Linked DNA regions of Saccharomyces cerevisiae S288C. The protein of the gene in region 2 interacts with the protein of the main gene of each other region in a pairwise test. Each region holds a gene or a part of one and is shown on either strand. Other genes may lie near its edges.

Region 1 (6,560 bases), on a different chromosome or scaffold from region 2:
GAATACAAGAATTAGAAGATCAGAGAGATGAACTCTTGGAACAGAAAAAATCCATAATAAATTCGCAGAGGCCAGGCGCGAGGATTTTAGCCCGTTCAGAAAGGAAAAGAACCAAAATCTCCCGTGGTAATAAGGTGAATAAGCAGATTGAAATATTGACTGACTTAGTCAATTATAGACATTTTAAAGCTATGGAAGATGTGATAGCTTGGAAAAACGTTTTAGCAAATTCGATATGGGGTTCCTCACTTCGCAAAAATGCATCTGGTAATAAAAGGAGTGGTGTCATTGAAACAGTAGACGATAAATTAAAAGATATAGTGGGCCAAACCTCAAGAACAGTAACACCTGCCCCAAATTAATATATAAAAAACTTCCTTTGTAACTGATGGTAAATTGTAGTATTCATAAATAGGATAAGATTATTCATTGTAAGCATAATGGAAAAAAATAACACAACAAAGCCGCGCAAGATTGGACCATACTTTCTATCTAAGGTAACTATCACTTACTGGCTTGATGGATGCGTATTTTTGTCGGTACCAGCTTCTGAAATATCGATATCAAACATAGCTGGCTCAATTCCTTCCATCAATTGCTGGGTAATTTCGACTGGTAAACCGTTATCGTTAGAGATATTAGCAGATGCGCTATCAAAATCGAGTTCTTGGGCACCTGATCTCAAATTGCAAGAATGGCAAATAATATCTTCATACCAGTATAAACTTTTGTTTGTACCACAATGTGGGCAAGTCCTTTCGAAAGGAAGTACGTAAATTTTGGGTTTAATAGCAGAGTCGTGTGAGTTTCCTGGCATTTCGCCGTGTCGCAGTCTAAGCTGTTCAAAATATCTCAACTCCACTAGACTATGGTCAGATTCGCACTTATAATATCTGCAGTATTGTTCTATGTATGACAGAGTATGTTGAGGCTTGTACGATAATGGATAAAGTTCGTTTCCTTCTAAGCTGATATCGTGTCTATCGCATATTAGTATAGGTCTCAAAGTGTATGTATCGTTAAGCTTGACATCCTTTATGCACGGTAGAGTGGTGTCTACAGACATATTTTTCTTTTCAAACATAAGCTTAAAATTGGAGCTGTTCTGTGCACATGTAATATGATACCTATATTGGCATTTGTTACACTTCACTAACCCACCTCCATTTATCCTGCACACACCACATGTAAATCTACTATGTTTAATAAGCACAGCAGTGGTATTAAGGGCAGGTTGCATTGATTGTCCGTTTCCATATTTGATATCTTCATTGAAAAGTGAGCAAACCAAATGCACCCATGTCCCTAAGCTCGTGCATTTCAATGCGTCTGGACATATTTTAAATGATTGGCTCCTATATCTATCATAGTCATAGTCCTTCGTAGGACACATACTACATTGGTAGGTCGTTGATATTATAGGATTGAGGTCATTTGAACAAGGGTCACATAACCATTTAAATGTCTTAAGGTTAGTGTTTTTCTTCATATCTTTCGGCAGTTTAATAGCATAACAGAAGTAGTGTACTGTAAGTCCACAATTACCACATACTACCTCATAGTTGTCATTGTCGTTAAATTTTTCTTTGCAGACACTACAAAAAGTCCTTGCGCTATTATTTGCCCATGCTGTATCAGGATTTTTTGGTTTATTCTTAGTGTGTTTCAAAATCATGTCTTTCTCTAACATTTTGCTCGGTTTATTACCATCATGGTATTTTTCAAGGGCGACAGAAGTTTCCTTAGAATGTGAAATAACTGTATAATTGTACGATGCCCCGTTTGGTTCGTTTAACGGATTACTTAACGCTATGTCATTGATCATTTTGATCTTCTTCGTTGAAGGTTCATTATATTTTGGCAGCTTATTATTCACTAACTTTAAGCTATTCCGTAATCGCTGAAATGTTTTGTTATCAAATTTGACAAATTTAAAACCTTTATCTACAGACACTGAACCAGAAGAACTGCCGCCTGTTTTAATTGAAATTTCTATCAAATCATTCGAAGCATTAGTGATTTTAGGAATATTGTTATTACTAGCCTTCTCGATAAATACATCGTTGCACTTGCGATTTCGGCTTGTATCACTTGTTTTGATAGTACCAGGTGATTGTCGAATTATGTTCACGGGAAATTCGTCCTTTGTGTTTTTCGCTCTTTCTGGCTTTTGTTCAGGGATGGCTTTTCTTACCTCTTTGTTGTCCTCTATAAATAGCTCAAGATCTCGTTGCATCGTCTCCGGGTGAAACTCATTCTTTCGATATGATCTCACAGCCATTTTGTAGAGTTGCGTGTGGAATGTCATGGAATACCGCTTCATTTTCACAAATGAATTTGGGTTCTTGTAAACTTTCATTCTTTGCCTGATAATTAGCTCTGAATCCTGAACAAGTTCCCATTCTAGTAGTTTATTATGAGCTTGAAAGGGAGATAACGTAAACTTGTTTGTGTTATTCTCCTCTATAATCCCTTCTATCGCTGAATAAAAACTATTCTGACAGGTTCCCGTTATTTTTCTCAATGTTTCAAGCGGTGGTACCCACTTAATTGCGTATCTTCGCCACATACGAGCACAACGAATGCAAAGAGCGCCAAGTTTTTCATTCTTTTTGCTATGGGCAGGCGATTTCTCTGAAATTTCTGTTTTTTCGTTGACTCCTGTCTGCATTCTTATCTTGATCTTTTCATCATCTGAACCTCCAGTAACTCTATACCACATCGGGGAGTAATCTGTTTTACAAAACATGCATTGGAAGGAGGATTCTGCTAAAGAGAGTTTCTCAGTATCAAAAGAAGAATCATCTATATACTTTGTCTCTACGTCATTTTCATGATTAGCGATTTCTTTTTTTCTTTTATTCTTTGATAACTTACTCAATTTCCCTCTCACGGTAAGGCCTCTTTCAGTCTTTTTCCAATTGTAATAAAATCTAACAATCATCGACATAGGTTGAGTGCCCACATACTCACACACTGGGCGTAATTCACTCCCAAATTTCTCGACAGCTTCCTCAAACTTTCGGATCTCCACGGCGGTAAAACTTGGCTCTTTCAAAAATTTTCTGGAAAGCTCCCTTTTACATTTTTTAAATGCCTCTGCTGTATCATAATTTGTAAATAATAAATTCTTTAGGACTACATCAATGAAATTACAAGTCTCACCTCTCACATTGAGAATAGGGCATATTTCGCTTTTGCATTGTTCAATATATTCACTCAATTTTCGAGTAGTAATTTTTGATGCATCAAGTACCCATGCTAGTTCCGAAGTTTTCGTTGAGCCTCGCTCTTCTTCTGAATTTGCACTTATATACGAGTTCCGCCTCCAGGGCACATTATGATTACATCCGTTCCATTGATACTTCACTCCTACCCTAGAGGGTTTGAAAGGATATGGAAAAAACATAGAATCATTTAATGCGTCACCAATATGAGAAATGGAATATATTCCTAAGTATTGAAACCAGCAATTTTCGGTATTATAACCAACATTCTCTTTGATAGCTTTGCTAGAAATTTCTTCAATTTTTTGTCTTACAGAGCGAATAAAATCCAGTTCCAGTGCTTGTTCTTCTAGAAACCTAACATGCGAGTCCTTAGTACCTTGTTGTTTCTGTAAGCAACTGAAGCAGGTCCAAACGACGTCTTTGTTCGGCTTCCTGTCAAGTGGCGGATCCATACAGTATAGATGTGCACAAACGCCGCATTCATCACATGAAAGGCTCTCCTTTTGGATACACCATTCTTTACAGAACTGACATCTTTTATCCCATTGGTAGTCTGCAGGACTTAATTCGTTTACCTCTAGTTCATGGAAAACGTATTTCTTCAAAACGTTCTCCAATGGATACTTCGGTTCTGTATAGATATAACGAAATCTCCTATTCAAAACATAAAGAAATGGCGACTTACTGTTCCATTTATTTAATATTTTATCCGTGCTGTAAACTTTGTAATATTTCAAAGTATATCTGTCAAAAAGTTCATCAAAGTAAAAGATATTGGGTCGTATAATGCATTCCTTCTCATTAGGAAGAACATCAAAAACTTCGTCTTTATGAAATATACTACATTTTCCCCTGTATGATGAAATAGGACATATGTCCTGGTGTAATGATGCATACACCAACCTTGGGTTAAAAGTATTTACGTGCTCTTGAATATCCCTAGGACGATAAAACCAATTCATTCTAACTTGAAAAAATTTAGCAGGGAAGACCGATGTTGTCTTTATAGCTTCATGAATAGTGTTAGAAAATTCTGGTTTACTAACAAAATTTACAACTCTGCCAACATAATAAGGCTCGCCAGCAGGCTCTGATATCATATAAATAGTGTCGTTCGCAGATAAAAGGACAGATTCTGTATTGAAAAGAGACATCTTTTTCAAGTCAATCATGGCATCATCTAGATCAAGTATGTTAGAGAATCTGCTATTCTTTCTGAACGAAGGGGGTAATGTAGGGATAAAGTTCCAGCAAGTATTCTTATCATGAAGGAATTTTTGGTACTTGAATTTCTCGTTTCTACTAGCTGGATTGCTTGTCCTTTTACAATTCCTGGGAGTTTGGCTATTGCTACCCTTGGTCTTAGCACCACTTTTTTCCGCTATTTGTATTTGTTGAACTAATTTAGTATCTATTTCCATTTCATTATAATTCACGTTTTTAGCAGCCTCTCTTCTTCTAGGTAATTGGAAATCTTCTTCTTTAGGCATAGCGTGACCAGCTGAAAGGCAGATGATCTCAATATGTCCCGATAGGCCAATTTTGCCACCAGATAGTTCGATGGCATTTTATTTTTAGTCCTTTTGAAAGCAATATCATAAAATATATATAGTTCTCCATGATGTTCGGGTCAGTCGCTCCGAAGCGTAACCTAGTATAATAAATAGTTCATTGCAGAAAATAACGAAAGAAATGGTGGAATACGATCTGTTATATCTAAACTAAAGCTAACTAACGGAATAAGCAAATACGAATCGACCGCTAATTTAACAAATATGGTTTTAGCAATGGAAAGTAGAGTGGCACCGGAAATTCCTGGGCTCATTCAACCTGGGAATGTCACGCAAGACTTGAAGATGATGGTCTGTAAATTATTGAATTCCCCAAAACCTACGAAAACATTCCCTGGTTCCCAGCCTGTGTCCTTTCAGCATTCTGATGTGGAAGAGAAGCTGCTTGCGCATGATTACTACGTTTGTGAGAAAACAGATGGTCTGCGGGTGTTGATGTTTATAGTGATAAATCCTGTGACGGGTGAGCAAGGATGCTTTATGATTGATAGGGAAAATAACTATTATCTGGTTAATGGATTTAGGTTTCCCAGATTACCCCAAAAGAAGAAAGAAGAGCTGCTAGAGACTCTTCAAGATGGCACCTTATTAGATGGTGAACTTGTCATACAAACTAACCCAATGACAAAATTACAAGAGTTGCGTTATTTAATGTTCGATTGTCTTGCTATCAATGGTAGATGTCTCACACAATCACCAACAAGTTCTAGACTAGCCCACCTTGGAAAAGAATTTTTTAAACCATACTTCGATTTAAGAGCAGCGTACCCTAATCGTTGTACTACTTTTCCGTTCAAAATTTCCATGAAACATATGGATTTCAGTTACCAATTAGTAAAAGTTGCTAAAAGTTTAGATAAACTACCACATCTTTCTGATGGTCTGATATTTACTCCTGTGAAGGCACCTTACACTGCCGGCGGAAAAGATTCATTGTTATTAAAATGGAAGCCAGAACAAGAAAACACCGTGGACTTCAAATTGATTTTAGATATCCCAATGGTGGAGGATCCTTCTTTGCCTAAAGATGATCGGAACAGGTGGTATTACAATTATGACGTTAAGCCAGTTTTCAGCTTATATGTCTGGCAAGGCGGAGCTGATGTCAATTCACGTTTAAAACATTTCGACCAGCCTTTCGATAGGAAGGAATTTGAAATATTAGAAAGAACATACAGAAAATTTGCAGAGTTGAGCGTTTCAGATGAGGAATGGCAAAATTTGAAGAACCTAGAACAGCCATTAAATGGTAGAATAGTAGAGTGCGCAAAAAACCAAGAGACTGGGGCGTGGGAAATGTTAAGATTCAGGGATGATAAGTTAAATGGTAATCATACATCGGTGGTCCAGAAAGTTTTGGAGAGTATCAACGATTCAGTTTCATTGGAGGACCTCGAGGAAATTGTTGGTGATATTAAAAGGTGCTGGGACGAGAGAAGAGCAAATATGGCTGGTGGTAGTGGGAGACCACTACCGTCTCAAAGTCAAAATGCGACATTATCTACCTCTAAGCCAGTCCATTCACAGCCCCCAAGTAATGATAAGGAGCCAAAATATGTAGACGAGGATGATTGGTCGGATTAGGCTAAGAAGTGTTCGTATCGACATATATCGGTGTAAGAATTTTGTGTATGAATAAGATAGAAAAGCAAAAGCAATTGCTTTTGCTAAATTAATTCAGTTAGTTATCTATTTATATGTACATGAGAAATGGGAGAATTTTGAGAAGCGAGGGTGAAAGTGTTATATACGCATATAC
Region 2 (6,791 bases):
TAAATGAACAAAACCACAAAAAAGAGCTCTAAGTCGAAGTTGCCAAAAGTCTTAGGGTTCCTATAGATGGTCAATTACTTGAAGTTGTCATGGAAATGAGCTTTTTTTATTTTTTTCATACCTCTCGAGAAAAATTGCCTTGGCGCGTTCCTCCTACGAAGGAAAGCAGAAGAACAATTGTTACGTAAGGAAAGCTATCAAGAAACGGTAAACACTTACTAATAAACATCAATATTGACAGCAAAACGCGCTTTTCCACCTTCGAAAGGAGCTCTCCTAGATTCTGGGGTGTCTTTTTTTACCGGGATTATGCTGGATGGGAAACACCCAATACTGGAGTGTCAACAATAGGTAACTACTGCCAACCATAGAAAACGTCGTAGAACATCTGAGTATGAGTAAACGAGGTATGCGCAATAAAAGAAGAGAGAATATGTCATGCAGACTTCGCAGGTACATTTTAGATAAGTAAATAGTGATTTTAATCAATAAGATAGTATTACGTTTCAATTTGGAATTCCTGTGATTATGATTCTTCCATTATCTGTGAGCCATTTAATTGCTTCTGCATCTTTCACCTGACAATGTTTCCTTAAGGGATCCGTCAGATTAGTAAAGCCGCATTGTGACCCTTTTAACTTTCTCAAGTAATACTTGATCTTGTGCGTAGAGGACAATTGATTTACATAACCGTTAGTAAATAGTTCTTTTTCCATTTCATTTTTGAAGTTCAAAGCAAACGCAAAAACGTCAAAGAGATTCTTCAAGATAGGGGGATCTGGAATTAAACTTAGCTTCAAAGATTCTACTAAGATCCTCTTCAAGTCGTCAAGCTCAAAAGTCACACCTTCGATATTGTCAACGGCCATACAGGGTGGTGTACATATCGAGCAAACAAATAAAACGTTTGGATCATCAGGTGGAACCAACTCACCGTTGCTAATACAATCCACATGATACCACTCCTTGCATATTTCACATTCGACCATTGCAGTACCTTCTTCAACCCTTCTACAAAAGCAATATTTCGTTTGGCGCTTAGAACAACTTTCCAAAGGAATGTATTTGTCTGACTTCAAATCTAAACATCTAAAAATCGACGGCAGTATCTCAATAAATTTATTTTTTTGCATTATTTGATCCAAGTGCTGGTTCCATAATTTGAAAACTTTTAACTCCTGTTTGGCTTTCACTGATCCTGAATTATCACTGGCCAGCGGTCTCTTATCTAATCTCGAACCATTAAACTGGTTCGCAAACTTCACAAATTTAGGATCATTTTTCCTGATGAGTTCGTCTATTTTATCAATATTATCAGTGTTATAAAGAATATTCACATCGTTCATTTTTTTTGCATTTTCAATTTCTCTAATAACATAATCAAGCTCACTGAAAAAACTACTTTGTATGGGTAACCGATATTCTTCTATATCTAATAAAACGTCTTCTAAATCACTTAGCGATATTTTTGAGGGTGGATCCTTTTTTAGAAAAACTCGAACTTTCTGCATCATGTCCTGATATTTTAAAATCAGCTTTCTCACTTCCCCTAACTTATCTATATCTTCCGAATCACAATATTTCAAACCAAATTCGAAGTAAGAATATAACAGTGGAAGTGAATATTTCGCAGGGTCTTCATTCTTAATATCACATCGCTCAATGAATATATGTTCATAAACGGATAACCATTCAAGCCTACATATTTTTCTGGTCAACTTAGTCCAATAAGAAACCTTCAACGGGATGGTTAACGATTTCTGATATAATTCCTTAAGCAAATCTAGATTATTGCCATCAATAATATCTCTATTATCGATAGGAAACTGCCGAGATACGTGATACAGTCTGATAATTGTCGGCTTTTCTGAAAATTCAATTGAGCACTTCCGCACACTTTCATACAAGCTCTCCAAATTATCAGCCATGTTGTCAGAAAACTTAAGCGGTAGATGACGTAAATTGAAACCGTTTCCGAAATCTACATCTTTAACAGAACAGGAAACATCCACGAAGGTCTTAATAAACTTTTTACATTTCTCAATAAGTAGTAATGAATCATCAAAATTGGAGCGTAACATTCGATTAAACTCAGTATTACTATCAGTATGAGAGATCAAATACTGTATTATATTTAATGGCACAGTTCTATTTCTAAAAGTAGAAGTCATTAACACGTCCCACTTTTTTTCAAAATCTTCATTGTGAACAAGCAGATAAGAAGTCGGAGGCTTGTCCAAGCCATCGAGAGCAATTCCTAGGCTTGCGCTATCAAAGTATGAGTGCAAACAAACATTGAGATTACCAGATTGATCACGTATTGGGATGCCACATATACTATGAGCACCGTTTTCTGGTTTTTCTAGCAATACCACGAATTCCTTCAGAGATAAATTACGTTGCAATGCACCGTGTGTAACAACGATTTTTGAAAGACCAGTTGACTCTAAACTAATATCTGAAATATAATTCAATTTATTATAAACGACATCTACAGTGCCAATCAACTCCCCTAATTTTTTGCTGTTTTCCGCTTCCTCAACGACGTAGTTACTTATTAAATCACGGCATTTTTTCCTTAAAACTGGGTTATTGGAGTTTAGTAGGGCATTGATAAGTAATTGATTTACATCTAAACCGGGAAGAAACCCCATCTTAGATGTCCATTTTGCTGCCTCGGAACTGAATCTCAACCAGGAGCTTGGCGCAAATTTTGCATTCTGTGATAGATAGAAACCTGATCCAATAGAACATGTGAAGGCTTTCGGAAACTTAAAAATGTATGAGCCCTGCTCCTGTGTCGTCTTATAAAGTTTTATGCCATTGGCTAAGATGAAATTAGGCTCAAATATGAAGTCGCTTTGTGAACCATCATGTAGAGTGTTTCCTGCTATCTTATCTTCTGGAAATGAATTTTTTGAATTATCTCCAGTGTTTGAATAGTCAGCAGATTGTTCTGCATCCAAAAATGACTTGTAGAAATCTGTTTCTATAAAGCTCTTTAATTCGTCATCGGAGGTGGAGTAGCGCGGCCTTGATTGGATAGTATCCCATTCACTTTTTCCTCGAGCAATTAAAGCTTCGAATTTTTCCATATCTTTCGGCGCAATACTGTACACCAACTTGGTAGAACCTAAATGATTGAAATCAATTGAAGGTAAAAAATGATCCGAAACAGACCAACCTTGACAAGAAAACAACATTCCAATATCATAAGTGGTTCTCGTAAAATTGGCCATATCCAGATCAAGGTGTTGTAAAAGCGATAGTTCATTGAGAGGAATGTTGTCTAAATTCCACTGGTCTAGAATATTCTTAATGGCAAACTTTTCATTGGACGAGTTGTTTCCTGGTGATCTCATGGAACAGGGTAGTCCAAGACCGGTGTCAATTTCGAAATCTATAAAGTGCTCCGATAGCAAATGAAAGTATAACCTCTCGAATTCCTTTTGAGGTAATGTTGTGTGTTTCGCAAACAAATCAGGATAGCTACTCCCAAATTTCGCTACAATAGCAGTGAAAACAGCCAGACTTTTTTCGTAATACTGTCTCAAATTGTATACTGGAGAGGTTTTGGTTTCGTATTTGCTTTTATCGTATATTTCCATACCATTCTCCCAAAAAGTAAAATCATAGCCCGGTAATGTGGTCTCTGTTGACTGTGTATAGCCTAGTTTAAACTCAGTTAACGAGTTAAAATAAGTCGGAAACCCTTTTATGTGCTTTATGTCCCGCATTCTTTTAAATTCATGATTAATCGATCCGGCTCTAAAGACATCGCGGTGTATTTTAGCTTTTTTATGAAGTGGCTCCTCTTCGTCCCTACTTCTGCTATTTGAGTGACGAAATATTTCAGATTCCACCATGTCTTCATTTTTTTCGTTATTACGAGCAGCTTGCTCTTCTTCTTCATATATGTCAAAGTCTAATAAAATTTTTGCATAGGCAGATCTTAAAGAAGTTGATAACGAACTCATAATCCTGCCCGAGTAACCTAATTCTCTTCCAATTTGCGCCCATAATTTTTTTTCGCAAACAGCATTGAAGCCTCCCCTCAACTTCACACAACTCCTCAGTCTATATAAATCCAAGGTGCGTTTATCGATACTTGGGATCCTTGTGAGAGTACTCTTTTTGATTTTATTGTGAAAATTATACAACTTCGCATAAAAATCAACTATCTTGGTTCTTTGAAATTCATTCGAATTGAAAAATTGTTTTCTTGCTTTAAACCAGAGGCGATCTACATCAACATTTAGTTGAGTAAATTTGTCAGCATCTGGTATAATTTTCAACTTAACACATCCATAAACTGACCCTAAGTCTTCCACTAACTCATAAAATTTTATGGGGTCCGGGAGTTCTTTTTTGGCTAAAATAAATGTTGGAATAGAGTGTGGAGATATTTGATAAAATAAACCCGTCTTTTCATGAAACACTCTTGCGGGTACACCCTCCGGTAGCTCAACTAAATCTACAGATTTTATTGTTTCAGGTGCAAACGGTGCTGCACCACGAGATTTAAATTGCGTATAGAGAAATGGGCTAAAATTATGATTTGAAGTAGGAATTACAGCACTCCGCGGCGATTCCCATTGTTTAATCGAAGGTCGCTCCTGTATCTCTAATTCGATGTCTGCAATTTTAGAGCTTTCATGGAACCCGTTTTGTACCATTACCTTTTCGTTAACCGGTTCATTCAGGATATGAGATATTTTTGTAACAGAATCATGCCCACTCATTATAACTATGGAGATGGACGTACGAACAAGAACATACACGATAATCTAGAATTTGGAACAAAAAGCGAAGTTATTCAATATTATTTTCCTCCGAAGCGCTACACCTCCAGCGCCCTTGAGCTTAAAACAACCTTTATCTTCCACGCTGATGTAAAGTGTAGTTCTTATTTTAAGTGATGATGTTCACGAACTATGCTCGGCCACCGTTCACACATGCCGAAGATTTGAGTGTCACATCAACAGGCTTTCGGACGACTGAATACCAACAGCATCAAGCTGATTTGGCATCATTGTATGCATCATACAAACGTAATAAAGCACGGATGGAAGTCTTAGATATGACTTATATATATTCGTAGAAGAAAATTCGCTAAAATAAGCACTTATTGATTTTGAGTATAAAGAACATAAACATAAACAATTCATAAATAAACCATTAAAAAAATAAAAGGACTTGGTTAATTGCGCCCAAAAAAACGTAACATTATTTTTTCATGTTTTCGTAAGTCTTCCAATCGTTCGCAATTCCTCTGCCAGCGTTCATCTTTGTTCCAGATTGATCATGGCCCATCTTCATTCCCCCTTCGGACTGATCATGACCCATACCCATGTCCATGTTCATATCATCCCTTTCCTTGTTGGAGGATTTGGCGTTCTTTCCCTTCTGATGGGAATCATCGTTACCTTGTAATTTTTCAGCGAACTTATTCATCATGTTAGACATCTTGACTATACTTTTTTATATACCTTTCTACTAAAGTAAAGAGCACAGATACAAAGATTAAAAATGCCTAGGGACAAAACTTTGGGGCAGAATTGGGAGCTTTATATATGTTTGTGATGTTGATTCTGAGGGATGATAATTGCCCTCTCAGTCCCATCATTCTTTACACCTCGTACTGTATTCATGATCATCTATCCATTTTACATACCGCTCCCTTTAAGATACGTTTATTCGTAACTCCCATTTACCAATCACTATGAGCCGTCCACGTTTCCAAAAAAACCTAAACATATGATGCAAACCTCCAATGAGACTCAACGTAACATGCAAGTAAATACAGAAGGTTAAGAGATAGTTGTCTTAAAGGGGTACCGAAAGCATTTAGGGGAGGCTTAAGGGAGGGTGCCGATCCTATGAAGTATTAATACGTAATGCCAAAAGGAATTGTTGAACATCTGAAGTGGATAGATTAATCGTACAGTAATCGTACAGTACTATGTCTTACTGATGTCGGGAATCTCAGGGGCGACCGCCCCCGGCTAGAATTATCTATATAACGGTAAAAAGAATAAAACTCTATTCTAGTTCTCGCCATTTACCTTGACTTTAATGAACCAATAAAAGAAATTTCTACAACCAAGACATCCAGAATGAATACAGACCAACAAAAAGTGAGCGAAATATTTCAGAGCTCAAAGGAAAAATTGCAGGGCGATGCAAAGGTAGTGAGTGACGCTTTTAAGAAAATGGCTAGTCAAGACAAGGACGGCAAGACTACCGATGCTGATGAAAGTGAAAAACACAACTATCAAGAGCAATACAACAAGCTCAAAGGGGCGGGGCATAAGAAGGAGTAGCTCTGTTGTCCTACTATCGATTATTTGTGCCAGCGGGCTCTGTTAGGTTGAGGGTGGAAAGTGTAGAAAAAGCAGACCTATTTGCCAGCGGATACATAGCCACAGCTCATACATAAAATTTTCATACTTAAGTCTAAACACAATAATATATTTTTTTTATCGAAGACATCCAAAAACTTAGTAATCGTCGTCACCACCGTATTGATTACGACCGCCTCTATTAGATGAACCATAAGAGTCATCATTGTTGGATGAACCGTAGTTGGAAGACCCATAGGAGTTCTTGTTTCTATTAGAGGAACCGTAAGAGTCGTCATTGTTGGAACCGTAAGAGTCATTGTTGTTGCTGGAGCCGTATGAATCATCGTTGTTGGAACCATAAGAACTCTTCTTTTTGTTAGAAGAACCGTAGGAATCATCGTTGTTAGAACCATACGAATCGTTGTTGCTGGAACCATAAGAACTCTT

What was found.
Region 1: the proteins of ECM5 (region 2) and SNT2 interact in binary tests that used the Saccharomyces cerevisiae proteins (3 or more experiments, as listed by UniProt).

The regions. Positions count from the first base shown.
Region 1 is NC_001139.9:261,140-267,699, forward strand, and holds SNT2 (DNA-binding E3 ubiquitin-protein ligase SNT2), read right to left. Parts: upstream 4,721-6,560; coding exon 509-4,720; downstream 1-508. Other genes in the region: ITC1 (Itc1p), read left to right, coding at 1-362; CEG1 (mRNA guanylyltransferase), read left to right, coding at 5,006-6,385. UniProt on the Saccharomyces cerevisiae protein: Transcriptional regulator that, together with ECM5, recruits histone deacetylase RPD3 to a small number of promoters of stress-response genes in response to oxidative stress.
Region 2 is NC_001145.3:609,691-616,481, reverse strand, and holds ECM5 (Ecm5p), read right to left. Parts: upstream 4,743-6,791; coding exon 507-4,742; downstream 1-506. Other genes in the region: YMR175W-A (uncharacterized protein), read right to left, coding at 4,974-5,168; SIP18 (Sip18p), read right to left, coding at 5,227-5,466; PAI3 (Pai3p), read left to right, coding at 6,117-6,323; DDR48 (DNA damage-responsive protein 48), read right to left, coding at 6,501-6,791. UniProt on the Saccharomyces cerevisiae protein: May be involved in cell wall organization and biogenesis.